Linked DNA regions of Saccharomyces cerevisiae S288C. The main gene of each other region encodes a partner of the protein of the gene in region 3 in a complex. Each region holds a gene or a part of one and is shown on either strand. Other genes may lie near its edges. The genes, in order: ESC1, SIR2 and SIR4. A codon is read from its position in the direction of its gene.

What was found.
Region 1: the proteins of SIR4 (region 3) and ESC1 are in contact, whole or in part, in a crystal structure (PDB 6QSZ), measured with the Saccharomyces cerevisiae proteins. Residues at the interface, in NP_010513.1 of Saccharomyces cerevisiae: Ser970, Lys971, Trp974, Glu977, Trp978, Asn981, Arg1066, Trp1068, Lys1072, Phe1076, Asn1079; in NP_013946.1 of Saccharomyces cerevisiae: Thr1446, Asp1447, Leu1448, Pro1449, Ser1450, Asp1451, Pro1452, Pro1453.
Region 2: the proteins of SIR4 (region 3) and SIR2 are in contact, whole or in part, in a crystal structure (PDB 4IAO), measured with the Saccharomyces cerevisiae proteins. Residues at the interface, in NP_010513.1 of Saccharomyces cerevisiae: Gly745, Lys746, Met747, Glu748, Leu749, Val750, Tyr751, Asp810, Leu813, Thr814, Ile817, Leu818, Ile821, Ala822, Lys824, Thr825, Tyr827, Asp828, Lys829, Ile832, Thr833, Leu835, Ile836, Glu837, Gln838, Gly839, Ile840, Pro841, His843, Tyr845; in NP_010242.1 of Saccharomyces cerevisiae: Met100 (codon at 2,630), Asn102 (codon at 2,636), Leu105 (codon at 2,645), Lys132 (codon at 2,726), Ser135 (codon at 2,735), Leu136 (codon at 2,738), Arg139 (codon at 2,747), Lys143 (codon at 2,759), Tyr144 (codon at 2,762), Tyr145 (codon at 2,765), Gly146 (codon at 2,768), Ala147 (codon at 2,771), His148 (codon at 2,774), Leu151 (codon at 2,783), Asp152 (codon at 2,786), Pro156 (codon at 2,798), Glu157 (codon at 2,801), Leu159 (codon at 2,807), Asn160 (codon at 2,810), Ser161 (codon at 2,813), Ile164 (codon at 2,822), Ile168 (codon at 2,834), Gly172 (codon at 2,846), Phe173 (codon at 2,849), Glu174 (codon at 2,852), Val175 (codon at 2,855), Lys176 (codon at 2,858), Asp210 (codon at 2,960), Leu212 (codon at 2,966), Ala213 (codon at 2,969).

Annotation. Positions count from the first base shown.
Region 1 is NC_001145.3:705,447-709,797, forward strand, and holds the start of ESC1 (Esc1p), read left to right. Parts: upstream 1-1,686; coding exon 1,687-4,351. Other genes in the region: transport protein particle complex II subunit TRS130, read right to left, coding at 1-1,441. UniProt on the Saccharomyces cerevisiae protein: Involved in the clustering of telomeres at the nuclear periphery, forming discrete subcompartments that accumulate a complex of histone-binding silencing factors like SIR4. Required for SIR4-mediated anchoring and partitioning of plasmids.
Region 2 is NC_001136.10:376,427-380,777, reverse strand, and holds SIR2 (NAD-dependent histone deacetylase SIR2), read left to right. Parts: upstream 1-2,332; coding exon 2,333-4,021; downstream 4,022-4,351. Other genes in the region: peptide alpha-N-acetyltransferase complex A subunit NAT1, read left to right, coding at 1-1,904; spliceosome assembly protein PRP11, read left to right, coding at 4,298-4,351. UniProt on the Saccharomyces cerevisiae protein: NAD-dependent deacetylase, which participates in a wide range of cellular events including chromosome silencing, chromosome segregation, DNA recombination and the determination of life span.
Region 3 is NC_001136.10:915,218-919,568, reverse strand, and holds the start of SIR4 (chromatin-silencing protein SIR4), read right to left. Parts: upstream 1,999-4,351; coding exon 1-1,998. Other genes in the region: adenylate kinase ADK1, read right to left, coding at 2,415-3,083; HTA1 (histone H2A), read right to left, coding at 3,641-4,039. UniProt on the Saccharomyces cerevisiae protein: The proteins SIR1 through SIR4 are required for transcriptional repression of the silent mating type loci, HML and HMR. The proteins SIR2 through SIR4 repress mulitple loci by modulating chromatin structure.

The DNA.
Region 1 (4,351 bases), on a different chromosome or scaffold from region 3:
GGCTCAAGGAATCAATGAAAACTTGCAATATTTTCAAACCAATGCTATTCCAGTTCGTTTGAGTATAATATTCGTAACAGGAAAGGAAAAGCGAGACTGCCTCCTCATATTTCTTTCCCTGATAGTAAAGCAAACCTATCTCAATGGATAAAATATCTACTATCCTTTGACGCTTCCCTTCACATTTGTTGAAGAGAGAAAGAATTTCTTTGGTGAGAGTAAGGAAGTTTTCTTGGAAGACAGTTTCATCGACAAAAGTTTCTTTTAATAGATCAAATTTGTATTTAACGTCACTATTAGGGTAGTTTTTGTCCATTAGTCTATAACCACTTGTAGCCATAACACCTTGCACCCAGTTGTCGCGCTTCAACATTAATAACTCAGCTTTGATTTCACACAAGAGAGGATTTGAGACATTCTCAAATTCAAAATATGACAGCATCGAAGTTATAAAATAGTGCTTAAATTCCAATAATCTCACAGACTTTCTATACTCTATTGATATGGATTCAATAAAATTCTTGATTAGTTGAAATGCTCCTACAAAGGCGGTCAACGTCTGGTCCTCTAGTTTTAGAAGTCTTAACCTTCTAATGAAAAAATACTTATGCAATTGAAACTTATCGAGTGTACCTTCTATTATTATGGAGCCCAGTGATTCATCTGATTTAGAAGATGATTCAAAAGGTACCTGAAGTTTTCCATCCGGCATATTCATGTTTCTACGGAGTATTTCTTTTTTGATTTTTTGCAATTCCAGGCTGGCATCTTCCAAAATATTGAATACCACATATAACTCGTACAATTTTTCTCTTGTCAAAAGCTGTTCCTCAAAGTTATTTCCTTTTTGTAAATTGGCCAACGAATGTTGCAAATGTGTCAATCGTTTTTGAAAGATGCTCAGTACGGAAGCCTTAATCTTTTGGCTAAATTGGTTCCAAAACTCCTGCCTTTCTTTGGGAGATCTATAAACCGATCGAACTTCCAAAGTTTGTACATGCGGAAAGTCTTTGCCAAATTTCTCCATTAGGGATACCGATTTGAATAGGTTAGAGTCCACTACTTCAGAATTGGCATACAGTAAAATAATTGGTTTATAAATCATTTTTTCTCCTGTCGATGAAGATACAGATTCCAGATTTGGTAGCCACTGTCTCACAAGAGGCCGTACTTTGGCCCTGTATTGGTCGATAGAGATACAGTTCACTATCAAAAATCTGATAAACGGCTGTTCATCATTAGACTTGTCTGCCTCCCCTCTACCTTCTGGAATCAATTCAATTGGAAGCCTGTTAACCGTTCGTACAGTTCCGTCAAATGCCTTCCAATGTATATTGTCTAACGGTAAAATCTGCTGAAACTCTGGCCTCAGACTCTCAAATAAATCAAACGGGTCAAAATAGCTGACAGGAACCGATCCACAATATATTTCTTTATCCATCTACTATATTAGCATGTAAAAGCAAGTTCACTGGCTATTTTTATTGCTTTTATGCTCACTTTCTTTCAAAACTTCTAACTTGCACTTTTCACCATTTTCATGTTCCGCGAGCTGTTCTTAAGAAGTGAAAACAAAGGAATTTAAAATGCGAGAAAGTCTTTAGTCCTATTGACAAGTATATTGAACACGTTGTAAATTCACCAAGGGGTTAAGTACAAGAACCAATAAATCTATACTGTGAAAATATGTCAAAAAAAAAAGAAACCTTTACTCCAAGGGCAAATAAACTTAAACTGACGACCCCAAGAAGAAAACTGAAAATACTGTCATCTCTCCTTGACGCGGACGAGGATTCCAAAATGAAAGATCAACATGGGTACTCAAGGGTCCACAATGATAAATACAGAGTAGCAAAGCCTACTCAGCACTCGACTTTACATGAATCTATTTCCTCCAGGCGAAGCAGTCATATTCATAATAAATCCCTTCATGAAGATAGTGCGAGGGCATTAAGCTGGGTAGATTCTCTAATTAATAGGGGGAAAAGTATACTTACTACACTAGAAAAGGAAGATGCCTTGTTTGAGCGTAGTCTTGAGGAGGAAAGACAACGTTTTCAGCTTCATGACTCTTTAATGAACAAGTACACAGGAAACAGTAAATCTCATCAGCGACTAATCGATCTCAGGAAGAGCCAATACGGAACGGATACTTCTTTCCAAAATAATGATGAAATTCCCTTAGATAGTTTCATAAGTTCTCCCTTACCGGACGCTGAGGACGAGTCGTCCTCAAATATCGACTCCGATAAGGATGAAGATCTGGAAGGTAAACAATCTTTAATCAAAGATTTCGATCTTGAAAATGATGAATACGAGCTCTCTGAAGAAGAAAAGAATAGTGACGGCCAAAGTAGTCCTTCAATAATGATATTATCAGATGAAGAATATGCAGAGGAAGGAGCACTACAAGATGTATCGAATGATGAATATGCCGAAGAGGAGGGGCAAGTTGAGAGAAAGAATATAGGGCAAGAACAGGCAAATGTAGAGAATGCTACACAAATTAGTTCTTCTGATTCCAGTGAAGGACAGAATTATTCAGAGGGAGTAGAAATGGAATTAGAAGACGACATTGATGTGGAAAGCGATGCTGAAAAAGATGAAAGTCAGGGTGCAGAAGGAACAGAACATTCGGTAGATTTTTCAAAATACATGCAGCCTAGAACAGATAATACTAAGATCCCCGTTATCGAAAAATATGAATCTGATGAGCACAAAGTCCATCAAAGATATTCAGAAGACGGTGCATTTGATTTCGGTTCAGTAAATATTTCAGTTGACGATGAGTCCGAGGATGAAGAAAGTCAAGCTGAAAGTTACTCAGCAAATGCTGAAAATGTGTACCACCATAATGAACATGAACTGGATGATAAGGAACTAATAGAAGATATAGAATCTTCAGATAGTGAATCCCAAAGTGCACAAGAAAGCGAACAAGGAAGTGAAGATGATTTTGAATATAAAATGAAAAACGAAAAAAGCACGTCAGAAGAAACTGAGAATACCAGCGAAAGCAGAGACCAAGGTTTCGCTAAAGATGCTTATACTAAGAACAAAGTGGAACAACAGGAAAATGACGAAGAACCTGAAAAAGATGACATTATCAGAAGCTCTCTAGACAAAAATTTTCACGGAAACAACAACAAAAGTGAATACTCGGAAAATGTTTTGGAGAATGAAACTGATCCTGCTATAGTAGAAAGAGAAAATCAAATTAACGATGTTGAAGGTTATGACGTAACAGGAAAAAGTGTCGAAAGTGATTTGCACGAGCATTCCCCTGATAATTTGTATGATCTCGCCGCAAGGGCTATGCTTCAATTCCAACAAAGTAGAAATTCGAACTGCCCTCAAAAAGAGGAGCAGGTATCCGAATCTTATTTAGGGCACTCAAATGGAAGCAACTTATCGGGCAGGTCTTTAGACGAATCCGAAGAGCAAATACCCCTAAAGGACTTCACAGGTGAAAACAATAATAATTTAAAAACAGACCGAGGTGATCTTTCATCTTCTGTTGAAATAGAGGTTGAAAAAGTTTCTGAAAAGAAACTGGACGGTTCTACAGAAAAAGAACTGGTACCACTATCCACAGATACTACGATTAACAATTCATCATTAGGAAATGAAGACAGTATCTATTATTCACTCGATGACGCTGATGCTATATCAGAGAATCTTACCGATGTTCCTCTTATGGAAATCAAAACAACTCCGAAATATGAAGTAGTAATTTCTGAATCTGTGTATAGTTCTACTTCTTACGAAGATAACACAGTTGCCATGCCACCGCAAGTGGAGTACACTTCACCATTTATGAATGACCCATTCAATTCGTTGAACGATGATTACGAAAAGAAGCATGACCTACTGAAATCAACGTTAGCAGCCCTTGCCCCAGCTTTCACCAAAAAGGATGCAGAATTTGTGGAAGCTGGAGTGACGAAATCATGCTTGACATCTACATCTGGGCACACAAACATTTTTCACACAAGTAAGGAAACTAAACAGGTGAGCGATTTGGATGAATCTACGGAAAACGTTACTTTTGAAAATGAAAATACAGGTGATGAAAATAAAAATCAAAGTAAAAATTTTCCAGGCGTGGCTAACAGTACTGACAAGTCAACTGAAGATAACACGGATGAAAAGTACTTTTCAGCGATTAATTATACCAACGTTACAGGAGACTCTTCCTGCGAGGACATAATTGAAACGGCTTCAAATGTAGAAGAAAATTTAAGATACTGTGAAAAGGATATGAACGAAGCTGAGATGTCTTCTGGCGATGAATGCGTAAAACAGAATGATGATGGTAGTAAAACTCAAATTTCGTTTTCAACAGATTCGC
Region 2 (4,351 bases), 540 kb from region 3:
ACAAGTTACAAAATGTATTGAAACATTTGAATGATATCGAGCCATGCGTCTTTGATAAATTTGGTTTATTAGAGAGAAAAGCAACTATTTACATGAAATTGGGTCAATTGAAAGACGCGTCCATTGTTTATAGAACTCTGATCAAGAGAAATCCAGATAATTTTAAGTACTACAAATTACTGGAAGTATCCTTGGGAATCCAAGGTGACAATAAATTGAAGAAGGCTTTGTATGGAAAACTTGAACAATTTTATCCAAGATGCGAACCACCCAAATTTATTCCATTAACTTTCCTTCAAGACAAAGAAGAGCTCAGCAAAAAATTGAGAGAATATGTTTTGCCTCAATTGGAGCGCGGTGTTCCAGCAACTTTTTCCAACGTGAAACCCCTTTACCAAAGAAGGAAGTCCAAGGTTTCACCACTATTGGAGAAAATTGTCCTTGATTATTTGTCCGGATTAGATCCTACGCAGGATCCAATTCCTTTTATTTGGACCAATTATTACTTGTCTCAACATTTCCTTTTCCTTAAGGATTTTCCGAAAGCCCAAGAATATATTGATGCTGCCCTTGACCACACCCCAACTTTAGTTGAGTTTTACATCCTCAAGGCACGTATCCTGAAGCACTTAGGCCTAATGGACACAGCGGCTGGAATTTTGGAGGAAGGTAGGCAACTTGATTTGCAGGATAGATTTATCAACTGTAAAACGGTTAAGTACTTTTTAAGGGCTAACAATATCGACAAGGCGGTGGAAGTCGCGTCCCTTTTCACCAAAAACGATGATTCTGTTAATGGTATTAAGGACTTACACCTTGTGGAAGCTTCTTGGTTCATCGTAGAACAGGCAGAAGCCTATTATAGACTATACCTGGATAGAAAAAAGAAATTAGACGATTTAGCATCGCTAAAAAAAGAGGTTGAAAGTGATAAAAGCGAACAAATTGCGAATGATATCAAAGAAAACCAATGGCTTGTTCGCAAATATAAAGGTTTGGCGCTGAAAAGATTCAACGCTATTCCAAAGTTTTATAAACAATTCGAAGATGACCAGTTGGATTTCCATTCATACTGTATGAGAAAAGGTACGCCAAGAGCCTATCTGGAGATGTTAGAATGGGGAAAGGCACTTTATACCAAACCCATGTATGTTCGCGCAATGAAGGAAGCATCAAAGCTTTACTTTCAAATGCATGATGATCGCTTAAAAAGAAAGTCCGATTCTTTAGATGAAAATTCAGATGAAATCCAAAATAATGGCCAAAATAGTAGCAGCCAAAAGAAAAAAGCTAAGAAGGAAGCAGCCGCTATGAACAAACGGAAAGAAACTGAAGCCAAGAGTGTTGCTGCTTATCCGAGTGATCAAGATAACGATGTATTCGGCGAAAAGTTGATTGAAACCTCCACTCCAATGGAGGACTTCGCTACCGAATTTTATAATAACTACTCCATGCAAGTCAGAGAAGACGAAAGGGATTATATTTTGGACTTTGAATTTAACTACAGAATTGGAAAGTTAGCTTTGTGCTTTGCTTCTCTAAACAAATTCGCTAAGAGATTTGGCACCACGAGCGGTTTATTTGGTAGTATGGCCATTGTTTTGTTACATGCCACAAGAAACGACACCCCCTTTGATCCAATTTTGAAGAAAGTAGTCACGAAGAGCCTTGAAAAAGAGTATTCTGAAAATTTCCCATTAAACGAAATATCTAACAATAGCTTCGATTGGCTGAATTTCTACCAAGAAAAATTCGGTAAGAATGATATAAATGGCCTGCTATTTCTGTATCGCTATCGCGATGATGTTCCGATCGGAAGCTCTAATTTGAAAGAAATGATTATTAGCAGTCTTTCTCCCTTGGAGCCTCACTCCCAGAACGAAATTCTACAGTATTACTTGTAGCCTGCAACTCCTCAATGTGTCAATTAACTCTTACTTAATTTATGTATATATTTTTTATGTATATGCTTATATGCATGCGCATATGCTCATAAAAGATACATTGTTATAGGTCATTTCTTTTCCAAGCTACATCTAGCACTCCTTCCAACCATGGTCCAGGACAGCCAGGACCTTTTCTTGCCAAAATTCTTGCTTTCCCATCTCAGAGAAAAAACGAGGAATTTTTCTTTGTCCTCTTTGGCCGCCAGTTGCGGTAAAATATTTTTTTTCTAGGTCGCATAGTTTGAAAGACTTGTCTTTTTCACCACCCAAGAAAAATATATTTAGTGAAGAGATGTAAAGCCCATTCTCACGTATTTCAAGAAATTAGGCATCGCTTCGGTAGACACATTCAAACCATTTTTCCCTCATCGGCACATTAAAGCTGGATGACCATCCCACATATGAAATACGCCGTATCAAAGACTAGCGAAAATAAGGTTTCAAATACAGTAAGCCCCACACAAGATAAAGACGCGATCAGAAAACAACCCGATGACATTATAAATAATGATGAACCTTCACATAAGAAGATAAAAGTAGCACAGCCGGATTCCTTGAGGGAAACCAACACAACAGATCCACTTGGGCACACTAAAGCTGCGCTCGGAGAAGTGGCATCGATGGAGCTCAAACCAACTAATGACATGGATCCCTTGGCAGTGTCAGCAGCTTCAGTAGTGTCAATGTCCAATGACGTTTTGAAACCAGAGACGCCCAAGGGGCCAATCATAATCAGTAAAAACCCATCAAATGGTATTTTCTATGGTCCCTCCTTCACTAAACGAGAGTCTCTCAATGCTCGAATGTTTCTGAAATACTATGGTGCACACAAATTTTTAGACACTTACCTCCCCGAGGATTTGAACTCGTTATACATTTACTATCTTATCAAGTTGCTAGGCTTTGAAGTTAAAGATCAAGCGCTTATCGGCACCATCAACAGTATTGTCCATATCAACTCGCAAGAGCGTGTTCAAGATTTGGGAAGTGCAATATCTGTCACAAATGTTGAAGACCCATTGGCAAAAAAGCAAACAGTTCGTCTAATCAAAGATTTGCAAAGAGCAATTAACAAAGTTCTATGTACAAGATTAAGATTATCCAATTTTTTCACTATTGATCATTTTATTCAAAAATTACATACCGCTAGAAAAATTTTGGTCCTGACTGGTGCAGGTGTTTCAACTTCATTAGGGATCCCGGACTTCAGATCTTCTGAGGGGTTCTATTCAAAGATCAAACATTTGGGGCTCGATGATCCCCAAGACGTTTTCAATTACAATATATTTATGCACGACCCCTCTGTTTTCTATAATATTGCCAATATGGTTTTACCTCCAGAAAAAATTTATTCTCCATTGCATAGTTTCATTAAGATGCTACAAATGAAAGGGAAATTATTGAGAAATTATACTCAAAACATTGATAATTTGGAATCTTATGCGGGAATAAGCACAGATAAACTGGTGCAGTGCCATGGCTCTTTTGCTACTGCCACCTGCGTTACCTGCCATTGGAACCTACCCGGTGAGAGGATATTTAATAAAATTAGAAACCTCGAACTTCCACTATGCCCGTACTGTTACAAAAAAAGAAGAGAATATTTCCCAGAGGGATATAATAATAAAGTAGGTGTTGCTGCATCACAGGGTTCAATGTCGGAAAGGCCTCCATATATCCTTAACTCATATGGCGTTCTCAAACCAGATATCACATTCTTTGGCGAAGCACTGCCAAATAAATTTCATAAGAGCATTCGCGAAGATATCTTAGAATGTGATTTGTTGATTTGCATTGGGACAAGTTTAAAAGTAGCGCCAGTGTCTGAAATCGTAAACATGGTTCCTTCCCACGTTCCCCAAGTCCTGATTAATCGTGATCCCGTCAAGCACGCAGAATTTGATTTATCTCTTTTGGGGTACTGTGATGACATTGCAGCTATGGTAGCCCAAAAATGTGGCTGGACGATTCCGCATAAGAAATGGAACGATTTGAAGAACAAGAACTTTAAATGCCAAGAGAAGGATAAGGGCGTGTATGTCGTTACATCAGATGAACATCCCAAAACCCTCTAAGTAGAAGGCAATTTAATAATTTAAAAGTGCCAAATTAATATCAATTTACATAGTATGGCAAACAATTTTGTTTTCCTTTCAATTATTGTAGTCAAATATTATTTACATTCTGCTATTTTCATTGTACCGGGTGAAATATTACATGTACCGCCCATCTCACTAAAAAAATGAAAAAAAAAAATCTGCTAAAGACGCAAGGCTCTCACAAATAGCTTAATGTAAGAAGGGCAGGTGGAACAGCAAATTCAAATCATTTAACGCATCCATACATTCAAAATGAACTATTTAGAAGGCGTTGGGTCAAAGAAAGGAGGTGGTGGTATAGCCTCA
Region 3 (4,351 bases):
TGACAGAGCATCACTAGAAAAAGGTTTGCTTTCACTTTTAATGAAAGGAGCCTTGAGTACGTTTGAAAACAAATTTAATAAAGATTTGCTTTCAACAGCCTTGGAAACCGGTTCATCCTTTGATTTAACATTCTCCCGGTCAATCTCTGAGGATATTTTTGGAGCAGATTCAACCTGAAAAAGGTCATTAGTTCCAATTTTTATATCTTTTTTTTGTGTAACTTTATGTGTGGAAGGAAGAGCAGTGTTTTGTGATTTATTTAAAGGGTTTTGAATAGTTTTCTTAGCCTCATTTGATGATTCTTTCGTATGCAAAATATCTCGCACAATTTCCTTAGGCTCTAATTTCTTTTGGATGTTTATTGTACCGTTTGAGATATTTGGAGTTCGCCCTTCATTAGGCTTATGCTTTTTCATAGGATTCGGTATTTCTCCTAGCTGGGGCCTCTTTGATGGTGTAACATTCAGGGTATTGTTTCTCGAATCAATGTGGGATTCTCCTTGTACTTTTTGAAGCACTTTTCGACCATCTATTCGTACACTCTGTATCTGCTTTGTGGTTTCTTCGGTTACTTTGTTTACGTGAGCTTCAGTGCTCATGATTTCAGGCGGCCTCTTACCAATTTTCTTGTTTTCACCATTTTTATTCTTTGCAGAAGTGTTCATATCATTTTTCTTTTCTGTGCTTCGAGAAGTAGAGTTATAGTTGTTTTCTTGGCCTTCATATTCAACAAGAAAAGCAAGTTTTGTAGTTTCTTCATCTCTAGTGGAAAAATTTCGGCTGTTTCTACGCCCTTGAGGTCTGTCAGCTGGACTTTTCGACAAATGAGGTGACTTTAAGATTTCCATCCTCTTGAGGTCGGCGTCTTCCTTCATTTTTTGTTCAGATGTTATAGGCTGATGCTTCGAAGGTGCAAGTGTTTTCTCATCGTGCAGTGTTATTTTATCTTGATCAATGGCGACTTTTTTTGGAGATGGAACGATCTTCTTTGATGTTAGAGTTTCTGTCGTGGCTGACGTCCCATTGGTATCTAAGGCCGATGCGACCGTACTATTTGCACTATTCTCATCTAATTTTACTGGTTTTTCTTGATTTATTTCTAAACGCTCGTTAGTAGATTCCTCATTTATTCCATACACTTCTGTTTGTATGGCATTCGGTTTTGCAATTCCAGGACTTCTTGCCTTGCTCTCCTCCGGTGATATACCACTGTCACCGGCACTAACCTTCGGAACTGATAGTGAATCAGAATGGGCAAAGTTTTTACCTATATTCAACTTTTCTTCTTTTTTTTCTTCTACGGTATCTTTCCTGATAGATTTGTCCTTGGTCAAAGAAATCACAGAGGCGCCGATGTCTGCTGATCCTTTTTTAAGTGGCTTCTCTAAAACAGGCTGTTCGTTTGCCAAGTTTATGCCTAGAATCTCTTTAGAGTAATCCCTTATTTTCTCTTCACTTAGTAAGCTTTTTACTCCTGATAAAAATGAGTTATTGGTTTGTGATGTTGATATCGGTACTATGGTACGTACAGGCTTTGAATTGAAGGTAGAAGTTTGTTGCTGCGCATGCCGGGAAAATGCTGTTTGTTCAAAACTTGCTAGAGACCTGCTAGCATCATGTGAAGGATTGTTTGATTCAATTCTTCCTGCTGACGTTTTGGACCGAAGAAGGGAGAGTAGTTTGCTGTTGCTTATTTTTTCCAGATTTGAGTGAGGAAAAGAATTATAGTTATTTTTTTTCAGTGGTGAGGATTTTGGCTGTTGCAACTGTTTATGGGAAGTCGGTTTTACATCACTTGGTTGATGAGGTGAGGTATGAATTGCGGTTGACGGCCTTGAATAGTTTTTGCTTTTGGCAAACGTGAATAATGGAATTTTAGGTGTCTTCACTTCATTGGATTTTTCTTCTCTTTCAGGAATTTTATCATTCGGGGTTACTGGTTTTTTAGTAAACTTGGGAGTGCTGGACCTATTGGGTGTCTTATTGTCATTTGGCATTGGCTGTTTTCTTCGCTTTTTTGGTATTGTGGGTTGAAGCTTCCTTTTTTTTTTTATCCCCTGCAAAACGATGTCCAGTTAGAACTCTGACTGAATTATAAAACCTGAAAAGCGCTTATTTCGTTATAGGTTTATAAAAAGCTTCACTATTACTGTTATACCGTTTTTGTTTATGTGATGCGCTTTTGTTCATCTATTTAGTAATATGATTTGCGTTCGTTCTCAACGATAAAAATATTGACTAAGTACTTAATGGCAGTGCACATGTTTAAGGACGTTATAGCCAGTTACAAACACTTATGTTATTATTTCATTTATAGTATACTGCGGATATATGTACTCACATACAAAAATTTATTATATTTTCATTAATTTAAAAAAAAGAAAAGATATTTAGAAGACATTGCGCAAGGTCATTAATCCTTACCTAGCTTGTTCAAGATGTCAGCCCAAACAGTAGCAGGAGGTTGGGAAGCATCAACACCAGCCCAGATACCGGTCTTTTTGTAAAAGTCAACAATTGGTTCGGTTTGAGCATGGTAAGCAGCTAATCTCTTCTTCAAGGCGTCTGCATTGTCATCAGATCTTTGAACTAAAGCTTCACCGGTGACGTCATCCTTCATGTCTTCCTTTGGTGGGTTAAAGATCTTGTGGTAGGATCTGCCAGAGGCTGGGTGAATTAATCTACCGGTAATTCTGGCAACCAACAATTCATCATCAACCTTCAATTCGATGGCTTTTTCCAAAGGAGTTCCTTGTTCTTTCAACATTTGGTCCAATTTTTCAGCCTGAGGAATGGTTCTTGGGAAACCGTCCAAGATGAACCCATTCTTACAAGCTGGATTGTTGGTCAATTCATCCTTGATCATGTTAACCATAATGTCATCAGAGACTAAACCACCTTGGTCCATAATTTTCTTTGCTTCCAAACCTAATTGAGTGCCCTTTGCGATTTGAGATCTCAACATGTCACCAGTGGCCAAGTGAGCGGCATGGAAACGCTCTTGCAAATTTGGAGCTTGAGTACCTTTACCGGCACCAGGTGGGCCAATTAGGACCATTCTAATGGATTCTGAGCTAGACATTACTGTTATATTTGATGCTGTGTGGTGACTTTACCAGAGAAACGTTAATGTTTCTTTATTAAAGCTCTCGTTTCTGATAAACCAGGTAATCCATTTCAGAAATTTATGCGTATATATATATACAAATATGCGTAATAAAACTAGCCAGAGTGAAAAAGTCGAAAATCAAAAAAAAATGGGCGAATAAGGACAGAAGCCGCGGGCTGCTGCGGACAGTTCTCCGTGACAGGATCGCGCAATCGTGAGCTTTTTTCCTTTGGTTGTGAAAATTTCGTCACACTATCAAAGTGAACAAAGCACAGAATGTGTTTGCTACTCAATCATGTTCAAGTAAGCAACAGTGCCCAATGAACCTAAACAGAGCAACAGAGAAAACAGGAAGACACAACAAAAAATTTATATCATGCATGACATATGTTACCGTTAATTATATACCCAATAAATTATATATAGAAAAATAAAAAGGAAAAACAGAAAGGTCTAATAGACACTTAATATAGTTACAATGGAGAAGCAGTTTAGTTCCTTCCGCCTTCTTTAAAATACCAGAACCGATCTTATAATTCTTGAGAAGCCTTGGTAGCCTTGGCAGACTTCTTTGGCAACAAGTTTTGATGGATGTTTGGCAAAACACCACCTTGGGCAATGGTAACGTTACCCAATAGCTTGTTCAATTCGTCATCATTTCTGATAGCCAATTGCAAATGTCTTGGAATAATTCTGGTCTTCTTGTTATCCCTAGCAGCATTACCAGCTAATTCTAAAATTTCAGCGGCCAAATATTCCAAGACAGCAGTCAAGTAGACTGGAGCACCAGAACCAATTCTTTGGGCGTAGTTACCTCTTCTTAGCAATCTGTGCACTCTACCGACTGGGAATGTCAAACCAGCCTTAGCAGATCTAGATTGAGAAGCTTTAGCAGCTGAACCAGCTTTACCACCTTTACCACCGGACATTTTATATTTTATATGTATGAAATTTGTTTGTTTTGAAGTTGTTTATTCACTGAGAAATAACCAAATCCGTATGATGATGTAGTATCAAGAAGAGAAGTACAGATTGGAAGTAAATAGATGATGGTTCAACAAGACCAGAAAATCTACAAGCTGATTAGGAGTCTTATTTATATATTTTTTAGGTCAAGACTTATTGCTAGTATTTACGATCCACTGGCTGGCTTCGTGAACGGGGAAGGGGGTGAGAAAAGATTTTGAAATCAACAAAGTGGGCAATAACAAATAACAGCATGAGAAACCACATATCTCTAC